4 linked regions of the Danio rerio genome follow. The protein of the gene in region 2 interacts with the protein of the main gene of each other region in a pairwise test. Links are inferred from orthologs where the notes say so. Each region holds a gene or a part of one and is shown on either strand. Other genes may lie near its edges.

Region 1 (3,567 bases), on a different chromosome or scaffold from region 2:
TTCCCTCAAACATCCTCAAAACAGACTTCAGTGGTTCAATTGCAATATTATTAAGCTATGAGAATACTTTTGTGCACACATAAAAGAAAAAACAACAACTTTATTCATCAGTTTCTTCTCTTCAGTGTCAGTATAAGGTGCACATTCATGTCTTGAGCTCTGATGTATTCAGATGCTCCCTTGTTTTGTTTCCAGCAGAGAAAGTCACCCATGGGGTCCATACATGAGTGCACATGAATGCACATAATATACTGACAATGAGGAGAGAAAGTATTCTTGTAGCTCGACAATATTCTGTTTAAACCACTGAAGGCATTAGGACTGCTTTGAGGAAGTTTTTGGTACCTTTCCGAACTTTGAATCGGGAGTCAGAGACCTTGCTGTCTATGAAGGATGAGGGAGCTCTCTGATTATTTTGTGTTCTGAAGATCAATGAAAATCTCAGGAGTTTGAAACAACATGAGGGTGAGTAATGGCAGTTTTTCTCGATTTCTAAAACAATTTCTGAACCCTTGCTCAATATACTTACACCATTAAACACAAAATCTCATCCTCAAGCACTATTAACAAAACCTCTGACCTTCTCTTGCAAAATGAATCTTTTGCTTCAAAACAGTTTTACCTGTGTTCAAAATCAAGCACTTCTCTCAATTAATAAACAGAGTGATCAAAATGATATACACTATCAAGTAGTCAGAGGACAATACAACACAATACAGAAAACCCATTATTTAAAACATAGTTCTTAAAGAGAACTACATTTTAATCTCAATGTTCGGGGCCATACAATTTGTTTATTGTATAGTATACAGCCTACAATGCACTGTATTTCTGTATACAGTACTAAAAGGGACAAAAATCAAAGGTGGAAACATAAATCAATTTGTTTCTTTTCTTTGGGCCGAGTCAGACCAGAACACTTTGTAATCCAATATGGTCTGTCCTGAAGCTATGGGGGAAGAAGCCTCTTGTGTGCCATATCCAGCCCTGACATGGTTCCTCATCTATATCACTACATGCTAAATCCATGACTTGCAGCAGATCTACTCTGGTGTACGTTTGTCCATCATACACTTTATATAAAACTACTAAATCGGAGTCAGGAAAGTATAGTATGGAGGGTGGTACAAGTTCATAAACTGCCCAACATCTCACATTGTTTCTTCTAACCATGCTTAGACACTCTCCTTCCTACCTTCAACAACCTGTTTGCTTATATCAGTTGTGTCCAGGGCCGGATTAACCAATGAGCTCACCTTGCTTCTGTCTGTCGGTTCAGGTTGTCAAAGCGTTTGGTCATTTTCTGAACCTCCGCCTCTTGCCTCTCGATATCAGGACAGTGCTCTTGCACTTTATTGGTCATGTTACTGCAGCTGGTTTTAGCGTCTCTCAGGTTCTGCTCAGTCTGTGTGATGATAGATCTTTTGCTTCTCAGCTCAGACGCGATGTCCTAGAGACAAGAGCACAGCAAACACCAGTGCATCATGAATCTGTTTGGAAAAAATAGATCAAGAGAAAGAAGTATCATTGATTACAATGCTTACCGCCAACTCGCGCTGGGTCTTCTCTATTGAAGCGGGGTCAGATGGGGCAGTCTCTTCTCTTGCCAGTTTGTTTTCATAAGTGGACAGCAGAGTTTTGCCATTCTGCAGTGAGTTCTCCAGCTGATAGGAGTTCTGCAGTCTACAAAACAAAGCAGGATTTGGTACACAATTCATGCTTTGGTGTATAAATCGGTATAGAAAGGAACATAAAGGTTTATATTTGCAAATTGAAAAATGTAAATCTTTAAATATGTGTTTTTAAGGCTGTTTAATAATGATAGCTTTAGGAATAAGCTGATTTAGACCCTGATATATCATGTGTGGCATTCATGACTCTGTAATGAAAGGGGGTATGCTCACTTGTCAGTTGAACATTTCAGCAGCAAATCAACTTTGTTGTATTTCTTGTTAGTATCATCCACCTTGGAGTAGAGCTGTGGGGCACTTGCGCATTTCGGGGAGGATTTAAGGAAAGCCTCAGCCTCCTTTACTTTTGCAGACTTTTCTGGCTCTATCTTATTGACAGCAGAAGTAATGTCCTGTGAAGAAAACACTAGAGTAAGAAATACAGGATCTGAAGCAATGCTTTTATGTTTATATTGCAGACGTTTGTTTGCTTTCACACATTTATATCTAGCATTTGTGTATGACGGCCCAATAATATGTTGATGCCCATTTCTGTGACAGCATAAAATATTGTAGATCTGGCAACTGTGAATGTTTTTTCCTCACATATCAACAAAATGTGTGATGCTAACTTTTTAAAACCAAGTTAAAAATGCAGCATTGTCAGAGAAAAAACATTCTAAGAAAAATGATTATAATTCCAATAAAAAGGGTAAAATCTTAACTCAGAAATCTCTTCTCTGACACATGTTTTCAATTCAGCTTTTTAACCCCACACAATTGTGAGTTAACATCTAGTATGATTCAAGCTTTTTTCAATGATTTGTAAATTTGCATCTAACAACCCAGAATTTATCTTATTTTACACTTTATATTGTGATTGTGCAAACGTGACGTGCACATGAAATTTACATGAAAACATGAAAGTGACTTTACAAAACTAGAAGCAATCAAACCAACAAAAGTGCATCAATATTCAAGCTTTGTGACAAGTCTAATGCAGTACAGTCATAATCTGTACCCTGATGTCCTGCAGCCTATCAGCGCTGTCTTGCACAGGACGCGTCTGCTCCAGTGGAGGGCGCACACGAGAGTAAATGGCCTTCTCCTGCTTATCCAGATCGCTGACAACTTTATCCAGTCCTGCCATCAGCTGACGGCACTGCTGCTCTTGCTTATCTGCGCCTGGAGGAAGAAGCAAATTTAGCGTTTTTCTCTCTTTGGAAGAGCTCTGCATAGTTTATTATAACATAAGAGGCAAGCCTTTACCTCCTGTACTCTCCTTCTTGAGCTCTGCCAGTCGGGCCTGTAGTGCAGTTTTGCTGCTGGCGACTTTCTGTTTGATGCTTTTATGTTGGTTTATCAGACTGCAAAGATGATTTCAGGATAAGTACACTTGGAAATGTATAAATTGTGAAAATGACATGACAATTCTGCAGATTTAGTGGATTTATTAGGTACAGTTGAAGTCAGAATTATTGGCCCCCCTGTTTATTTTTTCCCCCAATTTCAGTTTAACGGAGAGAAGATTTTTTCAACACATCTCTAAACATGATAGTTTTAATAACTCATTTCTAATAACCGACTTATTTTATCTTTGCCATGATTACAGTAAATATTATTTTACTATATATTTTTTCAAGACACTTCTATACAGCTTAAAGTGACATTATTAGCCCCCTTTGATTTTTTTTTTTTTTTTATATATTTCCTAAATGATGTTTAACAGAGCAAGGAAATTTTCACAGTATGTCTGATAATATTTTGTTTTCTGGAGAAAGCCTTATTACCCTAACCTGCCTAGTTAACCTAATTAACCTAGTTAAGTCTTTAAATGTCACTTTAAGCTTGAAAAATATCTAGTTGAATATTATTTACTGTCATCATGGCAAATATA
Region 2 (4,349 bases):
TATATAACATATTATATAACATATAATATAACATATAATAGGAAATAGTAATACTGTGAAATTGTCTTTGCTCTGATAAGTATTGGAAGTAAGTTTTGCGAAAGAATTGGAGGGCTAACAATGTCATCTTCGACTGTATGTAAATTCAACTTAACCAATGAATAACAATAGCTCGCCCGCTGCCAGTAATTTGTTCAGCTGCAGCTGTGGGTGGCAGATACTCTTTAAAACACATGCATATACACAGACACACACACATCCTCTTCTCTGCGTCCTCCATAAGTCACCAATGTCCCCTAGTTAACGCCGTCTCCTCCCATCCGCACAACAGTTTGCTTTGTCATGAACAGCCAGCCGGCTCTCAGACAAAGCTTTGTTTTCAGCGGTGTGTGTCTAAATCTGATGCTGGCCGAGAGGGCAGCTTGACCAGGCCTGCGCTGACCCTTTGATTGTGCACAGACTGCTCACAATAAGACTTGTCTTGCACACACTGACTGGACCGACTGTTAACTGATCGCAGCGTAATAGTGGCTTTGTTTGCACTCGATCAAACGTCAGGTTCAAGAATGACAACCATGCATGCGCAAATAGTTGTTTGTGGTGATTTCTTTACTGTGAATGTGAGCGGATGTACCTGTCTGAAGCTGCGGAGGCTGTTCTCAGCATCTTCTCTTTGAAGCATCTCTTCTTGAAGTCTGGAAATGAGATGCATATTTAAGCAGAGCCACACCCTTTACTATAAAAACAGCCTCGTGGAGCATCACACAGTGGATAGAAATCAGTAATCAGTTTATTTTAATTTACTGTATCAAAACATGAAGAAATTATGTTGTTTTTTTTCCTTGATAATGTTAAAAAAAAGTTTATAACAGAGATTTGCGCCAATAGAAATTCAACATGCTATTATTTGACACTGAACACTGTTTAAAAATGTCAGCTTTTTTTAAATTCAAGCCATTAACATGATTTAATATTAGCATTTATGCTATGTAAAATGGTTCCTGTTTTAAAATATTTGATTTTATCATTATGAACTGTATATCTGATCATATTTTAATGAAATGTCTTAAGAATTGTTAAATCTCTGTATTAAACAAGTCATTTTTATATATTATATAAATTAAATTATATATTTATTATATATATTTTTTATTTTAATGAAATACTGTCATAATGATTACACTATTGCACAATTGCTAGCCTATGCTTAACACTTTTTTATTTTATAGCAAACATAAAAGATTGCCTATACATTTAAAATGAAGTATTTCTAAACGAGTCATACGTTTTACAAAGCATTTTATAATGCATTGTTAGATTATACTAACAAATGTCAATTTAAGCATTACGAATGTATAGGCGATGTATTTTGGTGCATTTAAACAAAACAGATTTACTAAACAGATATATTTATTAAAATATTATTTTAGTCACCAAACATAGTTAAAAATTGATGGATAAAACAATTAAATTAAAGCAAAATATTGCAAAAACTAAGTACGACCTACAAAATTTCAACAAAATTTTCCCCTTTTTTGCTTTTCTGGATTTTTCCTCTTTTTTAAATTTGTATTTAATATTTTTCTATAACATAAATTTGGCTGTACTAGTTTTTCATTAATTATCATAAGTTATTTTGTTAGATAAGCTCCAGATTTGGCTTCAGTACTGATTAAATGTACCCTATATGCACAAATATAATATTGTATCGCTTACTATTAAATATATAAATTTAAAAGACAGATCTGTGAGGGGTGTACTTATATATGTTGAGCACTGTATTTGCCTAAAAATGCTTTTATCGAAAGAAAGAACTTTTAACCTCAATGGAACCTTTTAATTTCCCAAAAGCTTCTTTACAGTGGAAAAAGATTCTCAAAATGCTATGAAATTGTTTTAAAATAGTTTTTGAAGAACTTTTCACTAAAATTTTTGAGATCCAGAAAGGATCAATGAACAATAAGCACAATAATAAATATTTATAATAATAATAATAATATTTATATTTATCAGTAAAGTTTAATTTAGTTATGACTAACCTATAGGCTGTTTAAGTATAAAAACATAGTGAAAGTTACAAAAAAACAGACAAACATTCATCTGTTAACCTTTTAAATGCACATTAAGTTAGCATAAAATAACAAAAACAAAACGTAAAACATATTATGTGCGCCTGCAAGTTATTTAACACTTGACACTAAGTTTTTAGACAGTAATAGTGCCAGAACAGACCTCTCCTTGAGGCGCTCGATGTCCTCCCCTAGGTTGTCCCGGTCCACCTCCACTTTGCTCTTTTCCCCGGTCAGCTGATCCACCTGTCTCCGCAGCTCCCGCATCTCATCCTCGTACAGATCTCCGACCCGGGACGCTCCTTTGCCCCGCAGCTGCTCCAGCTCCGCGATCAGGATCTTGTTCTGCTGCTCCAGAAAGCGCACTTTGTCTATGTAACTGGCGAACCGGTCGTTGAGGTGCTGCATCTCCGCTTTCTCATTGGTCCGGTTGGCTTTAAACTCGGTGTTTATGGCCTCGGCAAGCCCGAAATCCAGAGTGTCGGTGGCGAGTCTGGGAAGGGGCGCGCCGGAGCGCACTCTCAAGCTTTTACTCGCGTACACGGATGGAGGCGCGCTGCTGTAGTTGTAGGACGTGCGCGAGGAGGAGACGCGCACTGGGCTGCTGTACTGCCGGCTGGAGAAAGTGGACCGCGCCGCCGCGGGACGCTCCCCGCCGAACATCCTTTTATAGGAAGATGTGCTTGTTCGACTGGCCATGGTAATCCTTTAGTTTGCGGGTTATTGTTGAAGTCTAAATATCGCACCCTGTCCAGACCAAACGGGGATACTGCGGAGGTTCGGCTGGTTTTTATAGTCCACTCCCTATGCTAATGACATAACGGTGCGGGAGGCTCTGTGACGCAGGCACGCCGCCGGGGCGGAGGGGTGAGGAGACCCTCCAGAACCTGCAGTGAGAGAGTTTCATGGGGAAAAAGCTGGAAGATTTGTTTATTTTTTGTTAGAAGATTTGTTCAATTCTTTATAAAAAATATATGCAAAATGCAGGGTTCCACACAAATCCTACATGTTATATATATATATATATATATATATATATATATATATATATATATATATATATATATATATATATATATATAATTTTTTTGTACAAATTTAAGTGAATTGAACATAAACCAATCAAGTTGTCCCCCCAAAAAACTTAAGAACTGTCTTGTTTCAACTCATTATAAATAAGTAGTTTAAACAAGCAGCAAAAGTTATTTTTACTGAGTCTGTTTAGCCAATTTATGTTTAGCATTATTTAAAAAATAAAAATGAATTAATTATTTAGGCCTTATTGATCATCATCATCATATATTAACATAGCCTCTATTCTACCAGGAAAAAGCACATTGAGATTAAAAGTCTCTTTTACAAGAGCCTCCTGGCCAAAATTAAGCAGTTCGGCTTAACAAAAAAAAAAAAAAACAGATAACATCATTCATCAAAACAAGCAAAAAAATTACAGATCAGTCAGAACATCTACAGACCAGTGTTTCAAAATCTTTTTCAAGGTATGTAGAGAAACCAACTCTTTCAACTGCAACTTTGATTGCAGGTTATTTCATGCAAGGGTTGCTATTTAAAAGCCTTTTTTCCCCTTATATCACCACTGGTACAATAAATTAAATTCCTGAGACTAAAGGCTATAGAGACAGTTTTTTTCTTTCACAAATGTACGTTTGCAGATATGAGGGGAGTAAACCCAGGATAGATTAATAGACAAAGATATACCAATGCTTGAACCGATGGGTGGACAAAGCAGACCATCCTACCTGAGAGAACAACACAAAATGATTGTGGGATTTGTGGGATGAGTGAGGGATTTAATATTTGTCATAAACCTCAGTGCACCACAGTAAACAGCATCTAATTATGCTTATTAATATTGTTGAGTTATTTTTTAATTAACTTTGGGGTAAATAGATTGAGGTATTAAGCAGATTTGTGAATAATAATTGAATAATTTAGGTAACTTCTGAAAGAAGATTTTATTCAAGTCAAATTATGTATTTATTTGTTTATTTAATGTTAGTACTATTTAATACCTAAGCATTCACTGATGGGTGTCATGGTGCTACGCAGTGGGTAGCATGATTGCCTGACAGCAAGAAGGTTGCTGGTTTGAGCTGTGAATGGGCCAGTTGGCATTTCTATGTGGAGTTTGCATGTTCTCTCCGTGTTCGCATGGGTTTTGCATGCTCCAGTTTGCCCCACAAGTGCAAGTTCAAAGACATGCAGTACATATGAATTGGGTAAGCTAAATTGACCTTAGTGTACGAGTGTGAATGAGTG
Region 3 (3,567 bases), on a different chromosome or scaffold from region 2:
GCTATATATAAGGCTAGGTGGAATAGTGCTATTTACTTATGTTTTACTTACAGTAAAAGGTATCTTATGAAACTGAAAATAGTCAATCAATCTTTCGCCGGAAGATTTCAGTAAACAACACTTCCATGCATATACCCATTAGTAACAACCAAATCTACATCAGCTTTGCGTGACTAAAACAGCTTTAAAACAGAACATTACCTGTCTAACAGAAATACCAGAGCAATGATGTCATCCTTCCTCCAGCGTGCAAAACTAACTCCAACATTGATTCAGGAATTTAAAGAGTTCTGATTCAGCAGTTGTTTTTACTGCTGTCACATGTGTCCACGCGAACACGCTAATGGCAGATCTGCATGAACAGAGGAGCGCAGTTCTACAAATCTACATTTGCTAACAGACAATTTGGGCTACCTATCAGAATTATGGGAAGTGTCGGCCTGACAATTTTTAACTGGATGAACATTTTTGAGTCTTATGCCTTACCCAGAACATAAAAATACATATTAAAACATTTAGATCATTTACTTTAATAATTTCTGTTGGACTGTGAAGAGACTTTCAACCAGCACAACAAAACATGTTTCTGAAGACAATCACCTACTGCACCTTTAACTGAGTTTCTTCATAAAACAAGTTAAAAATCTGCTACTGGGGTAAGCAAAACAATCTAAAAACAAGTTTATTTTACTTATCCAACTGGCAGATTATTGTGTTTGTTTTAAAGATATTTTAGTGTGTTTTTTCTGAAGAAAAGACAATCATTTTTGCTTCTAGAAAATGCTTCCTTAAGAATTTTTAAATATATGGACTGCAAACAAGATATCCCGCACTACCCTGACTAAAGTCATTACAAGAACTTTCTAGAAATGTACACTAATGTTTAAAGATTTGGAGTTAGTAAGACTTTTTTAAAGAAATAAATACTTATATTTAGCAAGAATGCATTAAATGATCAAAAGAGAATACATTTATGTAAGTTTTCAACTTTGATCATAACAGGTAATGTGTCTTGATCATTTGATACAAAAGTCTGAATTCATGATTTATTCAGTTCAGCTTTGCCATCAAAGTATTACATTACATTTAAAATATATTCAAATATCAAACATAGAAAAATAATATGAATCTGTAATAATATTTCACAATAATTCCGTTTTGACTGTATTTGTGATCAAATAAATGCAGCCTGGGTGAGGATTAGGGACTTCTTTCAGCAATATGCTGTCACCTTTCTTGCGTGCAATGGCCACAGTCTCTGCGGCACTCTTACTCATCACTTTGGTGATGTACACAGGACAGTTGACTCTGTTGCCAATGGTGATGGCCCGGAAAACAGCCTCCGCCTCCAGCTGTGAAACAGAAAACCAGCCGCATCAGGACTGTTCGCATCACTAAAACAATCAGCAAGTTAATCAGCTAAATAGTTCATCACTTTGTTTATTGATCCCACCTCTTCTGGACGGCTCAGTGGGTGACCTTCCGGACCAATGATGCCCATTCCCAAGATTTTGCTTTGTTCCTTGAACACAAACGTTAACACAGTTAAATAAATGGATAAATTGTAAAAATTTACGACAGTATGGTCAATAAACAGATCCTGCAATAAACATGTAATAAATAAATAAATACTCTATTTATATTGTATTATTCATTTATTCATTTTCTTTTAGGCTTAGTCCCTTTATTAATCCGTAGTCGCCCCAGCGGAATGAACCGCCAACTAATCCAGCACATTTTGACACAGCGGATGCCCTTCCAGCCGCAACCCATCTCTAGGATTATATTATATTATATTATATTATATTATATTATATTATATTATATTATATTATATTATACAGATATTTTGAAGAATGTTGATAACAAAACAGTTGATATTCCCAAATGAATTCCAAAGTAGACTCAATGGGGATCATCAACTGTTCATGAAAATATTCTCTTGCTTTCAATAGACAAAAGAAACTCACATATTTTTGGATCAAGTGGACATTTTTGAGTGCACTGACCCTTTAAGAGTCTACCAAAGTAAGTGAATTTTACAGAAATGTGTCAATGCATTCAAGCTACCATTGGGCCATGATGATTATGTAATAGGTAGGTGTGGCTCTGAGGCCCCGCCTTCTTTCACTTGAAAATGTTCAGACAACATGCCATGAGAAAAGTTACCTAATAGAAACTGAAGAGTAATTCTAATTTCAAGCAATGCAGATGTGTTTTAAGGTTTAATACTGTAAAGCTTATAGAAATTAAAATCAATTTAATATATAAAGTGTTACAGTATATAACAATACATTATGTAACAATATGTTATTGGAAAGCAGAGCTCGCACTAACATCCACATCGCTGTAATCAGATGCTTTCTTAACTGCTGATTTCTCACTCTTGTTTTTTTCCCCCTCAGATATTTTTTGTTATTGAGAGGAGAAGGGCAGCACATAATAACATCAAACTTAGTTTTACCCCTAAAAGAAGAACGAAAATAAAATAGAGATTTATTATAGAGCTGTACAATATACAGATTTAACATCAATATTGCAATGTGAGAATCTGCAATAGTCACATCACAAGATCTGAAATGCTGACTTGGAATTATAGTTGACCAGGCACCAAAACGTGATTTGTCACAAAGATTAACCCTAATAGAGTGAAAGATTTTCATCTGGATGTATTTTTATGGGCTATGACGGAGTAAGACTTCAAGCGAATTTAAGCCTAACTTGATTATGACTATTATTAGGGATTTAAGTGAGTAGGTACCTGTGCTATCAGGTCTCCATTCTCTGCATGCACCAGCACTACTGCCCCCAGCTCCTTAAGGAAAGAGAACGCTTCGTACAACTAGAAGAAAAAACAGAGATGCTATTAGTTACTTTATTGTATTTCTGCATATTTTGCTCTAAATATAGAGCCACAGATGGCATTTTTGCAAACGGCAGCATTTACTCACCTGAGAGTCAGGCATTTGGTATAACCCTTTGTAAGCCATGTACACTTGGAAAGAGTTGATTCCTGTCAAAAGAAAAGAACATTAGCTTGCATTTGCCTTCACAACCATTCAAAACGTTCGGTTTCCTGTAAGATATCTGAAAGTTAATTGATTATATAAATACGTCCTTGCTGAATAAAAGACAACACATTTGACTGAAGGTTATTAACAACCATTAACATTTGGCAGGTTTCAACAAGTGGCTGTTAAACATCAGTATAATCAAGTATGTAGTATAAAAAGTACTGAGTATATTCAGCTTTGCAGAACTATTGTGTTGGGATATTGTTTCATCTTTAAATACATATTCACCTTTTTCCTGTACCAGCTGTTCCAGCTCCTCCTTCACTCCTTCATGCCAGTGTGGAATATCGACATGTAGTGAATAATCACAGCAGGACTTCTTATCCGCCGCTTCCTGCCACTTCTCAAAGGCCTCCAATAGACCATCTCCAGGCTGTGGTGTCACATGATCAACTGAAACAGGAAATTATACATTCTGTAATCTATTACTACCATAAATATAGGCCTTTTTTGTTTTGTATGTTTTTTTTTGAAGATAGTATTAATGTTAATG
Region 4 (4,335 bases), on a different chromosome or scaffold from region 2:
GAGCTCTGGCTAAGGCGCAGTGATGCTCGGGTCATGCGGGTGTTATTGCGCTGGTTGGCTTCACCGTGAGAGCTGTCGGTCTTCTCATGATCTCCAGAGTCATCCGAATCTGCAGTCCCGTCTGAACTACTGCCCGCAGTTCTCTAAACACAGAGTGGACATTAGCAGTGCTTTATCAGTGTACATGTACAGATCATGAATTAAACAACACTTTAAAATGAGCTAAGCACTGCAGTTGAACAGGGGAAAAGATTATAAACGATTTCGATTGATTACTTGAAGAAATGCAAAGAAACAGCATTACAATTGTTCTACAATGATGTTTAAATGTAAAAAATGATCCATTATTTCATTAAATTTGCACATTTCTAGCACAAAAATATAGTTCAAAAACGATCATTCGTTTTTTTACACTGTTTTTGTAAAAACTGAAAACAGCAAGGGAAAAATGTAATGGTTTATGACTGTTTCTCAACCACGTTCCTGAAGGACCACCAACAATGCATGTTTTGGATGTCTCCTTTGTCTGTCAAACCCATTATAAGTCTCTCAGTCTCTGCTGATGAGCTGATGATTTGAATCAGGTGTGTTTGGTTAAGAAGACATGAAAAATGTGCAGAGCTGGTGGTCTTCCAGGAACGTGGTTGAGAAACACTGGTTTATGGGATTAAGGTAAAGTTGGTTTTAAATTCGCACATTCGTTCAATGACAACTTGTGACTTGGTCCCTATATCGTTTACCATGTTACTTAAACAATATAAGTAATATTTAATTGACTGTTGTACTTAGGCATGGGACGGCATAAGATTTAGATGGTATGAAAACCTTGGATAAATATAGCATGGTTTAACGGTATTGTGATAACTGCTTAGGCTGCTGGGGATACTGTTGTTCTAAAAAGCCTAAAACAAAAGCCAAAAAACTTACATACACCATAGGAACAGTAACATAGACTGACCATATTCTGTACACAACAATGTTCCATATGGATTACCTTTACGTTTTCGTGGCTGTAGCTCTGTCATCGGAACTGTCTGATTGACAGCTGATATGAGCCAATCTATTCGAGTTCTGTTCTAGCGCAGTGGGCCAATAAGAAGAGCTAGAAGGCAGGGCAAGCATTGCAGGCTTTGTTTACTGCAGCAAGTTGACAAGTCACTTGTTTTAAACCATTCCTGAGTGCTGCGTTTGGTGTTTTTAGGTGCAAAGATGCTTAATGCGTGAATGCCTCCTAAATCTGCGCATGTGGTGAATATTTTGTTGTGAAAACTGGTCGAACGTCATCAATTTTATGCATAGATGAAATTTCGGGCACATATGCGACAAAAATGATCGCACTGCGCTTGAAAATAGACAGTGAGGAAGCTAAAGGAGCAAGTGTAACTTAGGAAGGGAGACATTTATGGCCGGTTTTCACGGTCGGAATGGGGTCACTTTAACAAGCTTGCGTTTCTACAGCCAAAAAGGTACCCTTTTAGTGGGAGTGGTGTATGACAAAGTTTCAGATGACATCATTTTTACTAAAGGAAATGTCACAGTAAAGCCATACAGGTCGTTCACAAATATGAGAAGCCCTTCTCACAAAACAGAAGCTTTATACACATAAATACTTCTCTTTAAATGTTTATTACTAACCCTTCTATGAACATGACTTGATTATAACTACAGATCAGTGATAGTGCAAAATAGCCTACTGTAGCGTCTGTAATTATATGTAATAAATAAATAAACACAACATATATGAAAACAAACAGACCTTTACAGTCTCCGATATGTTATCAATTACATAAAAACTACACACAGCATACATTTAGTCCTTATTTGGGTTCAAAAACAACACGAAATATAGCCCAGTCAGACGCAAACCTCTTATATGTGTCTTTAATCTTCAGCAGCACATGTAGCCTCTTGTTAGAAGGTAATTCCGTCATTCCAAATTCATAATAGTCCAATAGGTGATGATACTAGTTAACGTTAAACATGGCAGTTTGTTCATGTTTTAGGTTGCAGATTGGATCATTTGCTGCTGTTTTTTCCAGCTTCTCCTTTGTTAGCAAAAAAATACTTTCCTGAAACTTTATTATTAATGTCTAAATGTGCGATTAATAAAATGAACTTTACCTCAGTATTTATGGGTTTATTTAAGATCAGCTGAAATGGAGATTTATGGCCCTGTAGAGGAGAAACAAAAACATTTTCAGAATAGAATATGTATTGCAACTGAATGTACAAACACACATTTTGATAAAAAGCTTAGAAAATAACACATTAAAAGGGCATAATGGGTGTTTTCTTTACAGTATCATCGTATTCTCGTAGAATTGTATTCTGAATAGCATTAAAAAGCAAAAAAAATCTAAATAGACAGATGGTAAAAGGAAACTTGCAATGTATCTTGCCTTAATGAAATAATAATATTACTTTAAATCTCAAGTGTGTTTTCAACATTAACGTTTGCACATAAAGAAAAAATGCTAACTAGCTTCACTTTTACCTAAAAACGCACCGTTTTCGAAGCCACTTTCTTTGCTTTTCGATTCTTATGCGCTAAAATGTTAACTCAGAACACAATTGAGATAAAAATTGAAACATTTTAATAGAAAACAAACAACATTTGTCTGAACATGTAAACAAACATTGAGCTAGCCGTTAGCGCGCGCTCAGCCGACTGGGCTACTGACCCAGTTCTCGCATTTTCTCTCACCTTCCGCCGCGGCATGTTCCCTCCGATAAATCCAATCGCCGCTTTCTTCACACGTTTGTCAAACGAATTTATTTGTTTTCAGTTATTAGATATAACCCAGCAGCTGCGTGAACACAAGTTTGCCCTTTTCTGTTCTCGCAAATTGTTCACTATCTCGCGACTCGCGCCACACCGGACCGCGGCGGAAGTGACGCAATGACGGAAAACATGGCGGCGCTGAAGCGAGTGAGGGACGTCGTCCATTTAGACCAGTAGGACTCAACAAACATCCATGTTCTGCAAAATAACATTCATTCATTCATTCATTCATTCATTTTCTTTTCGGCTTAGTCCCTTTATTAATCCGGGGCCGCCACAGTGGAATGAACGGCCTGCAAAATAACAAAAAATCTTATTTTATTTGTAAATGACCACATCAAAACAAAATGTATGCTTAGCTGTACCAAATTGTAAACTATTTTTCATTGATCTAAAAACTTTTTGATATTCGTTTCTAAAAACTCTAGAAACTTTTTGTGATTCCCTGAATTTGTTGGCAATCCTATTTAATTTTAATGTTCGAAATTAAGTTTGAATAAAGCATATTTAATGCAATTAAATGTCATATAGCTCGAATGTCCAGATAACCTTTTAGGCAATAACCGTTATCAAAATAAATTAATAAAACAAAATATTTCTTTGGTTAACTAACACCTTCTTCGAAATAAAGATACAGGAGCTGTCGCTGGGGCAGAACCTTTACAAAAAATACATATTAGTACATGAAGGGTCCATAATGGTATGTCAAAGGTACATTTGGGCACTAAAATGCACCCTTGAGGTACCACTATGGACTCTTTGGGTACAAATATGTATCTTTTGAAAAGGTACTGCCCCAGCGACAGCTCCTGTACCGTTATTTCTGAGAGTGTATATGGTTTTTGTAGTAGCCTAAACTGTAGTTATAGAATTGGTTATCAAGTCTAAAAGCATGGTTACTACACCTTTACTTACTATAAAAAAACAGGATTAATTGGCCCATATGGGGATGTAAAGATAAAATGAGATGTTCAACACTAATAAAAATATAAAATGGTTGAGGCTCGAACCAGCAACCTTCTTGCTGTGAGGTGATTGTGCCACCGAGTGCCACCGAGTCACCCTACTTGTGGGTAAATATGTTTTAAATCTGGGCGAGGCAGTGGCGCAGTATAGTGCTGTCACCTCACAGCAAGAAGGTCGCTGGTTCGTACCTCGGCTCAGTTGGCGTTTCTGTGTGGAGTTTGCATGTTCTCCCTGCCTTCATGTGGGTTTCCATTTTCCCCCGGCTCCGGTTTTCCCCCACAGTACAAAGACATGCAGTACAGGTGAATTGGGTAGGCTAAATTGTCCGTAGTGTATGAGTGTGTGTGTGGATGTTTCCCACAGATGGGTTGCGGCTGGAAGGGCATCCGCTGCGTAAATACTTGCTGGATAAGTTGGCGGTTCATTCCGCTGTGGAGACCCTGGATTAATAAAGGGACTAAGCCGACAAGAAAATGAATGAATGAATATATTTTCAATCTATATTTGGCTGTGATATTTGATTTAAACTTCAATTTGTTTTAGGTTATGTTTGACAAACACATATGATGTATGCATGTTCTCTTGTC

The links.
Region 1: the proteins of vim (region 2) and ppl interact in binary tests that used the Homo sapiens proteins (3 or more experiments, as listed by UniProt). The link is inferred for Danio rerio from reciprocal best matches to the Homo sapiens genes VIM and PPL.
Region 3: the proteins of vim (region 2) and crmp1 interact in binary tests that used the Homo sapiens proteins (3 or more experiments, as listed by UniProt). The link is inferred for Danio rerio from reciprocal best matches to the Homo sapiens genes VIM and CRMP1.
Region 4: the proteins of vim (region 2) and kat7b interact in binary tests that used the Homo sapiens proteins (3 or more experiments, as listed by UniProt). The link is inferred for Danio rerio from reciprocal best matches to the Homo sapiens genes VIM and KAT7.

What each region holds. Positions count from the first base shown.
Region 1 is NC_133178.1:35,315,554-35,319,120, forward strand, and holds part of ppl (periplakin), read right to left. Parts: intron 3,038-3,567; coding exon 2,940-3,037; intron 2,856-2,939; coding exon of another isoform or gene 2,850-2,855; coding exon 2,692-2,849; intron 2,084-2,691; coding exon 1,905-2,083; intron 1,684-1,904; coding exon 1,545-1,683; intron 1,451-1,544; coding exon 1,257-1,450; intron 1-1,256. UniProt on the Homo sapiens protein: Component of the cornified envelope of keratinocytes. May link the cornified envelope to desmosomes and intermediate filaments. May act as a localization signal in PKB/AKT-mediated signaling.
Region 2 is NC_133199.1:36,348,414-36,352,762, reverse strand, and holds the start of vim (vimentin), read right to left. Parts: upstream 2,836-4,349; 5' UTR 2,769-2,835; coding exon 2,233-2,768; intron 696-2,232; coding exon 635-695; intron 1-634. UniProt on the Homo sapiens protein: Vimentins are class-III intermediate filaments found in various non-epithelial cells, especially mesenchymal cells. Vimentin is attached to the nucleus, endoplasmic reticulum, and mitochondria, either laterally or terminally.
Region 3 is NC_133176.1:15,736,913-15,740,479, reverse strand, and holds part of crmp1 (dihydropyrimidinase-related protein 1), read right to left. Parts: intron 3,468-3,567; coding exon 3,303-3,467; intron 3,014-3,302; coding exon 2,952-3,013; intron 2,843-2,951; coding exon 2,762-2,842; intron 1,523-2,761; coding exon 1,454-1,522; intron 1,353-1,453; coding exon 1,232-1,352; intron 1-1,231.
Region 4 is NC_133187.1:6,548,165-6,552,499, forward strand, and holds the start of kat7b (histone acetyltransferase KAT7), read right to left. Parts: upstream 2,849-4,335; 5' UTR 2,720-2,848; coding exon 2,705-2,719; intron 2,173-2,704; coding exon 2,122-2,172; intron 144-2,121; coding exon 1-143. UniProt on the Homo sapiens protein: Catalytic subunit of histone acetyltransferase HBO1 complexes, which specifically mediate acetylation of histone H3 at 'Lys-14' (H3K14ac), thereby regulating various processes, such as gene transcription, protein ubiquitination, immune regulation, stem cell pluripotent and self-renewal maintenance and embryonic development.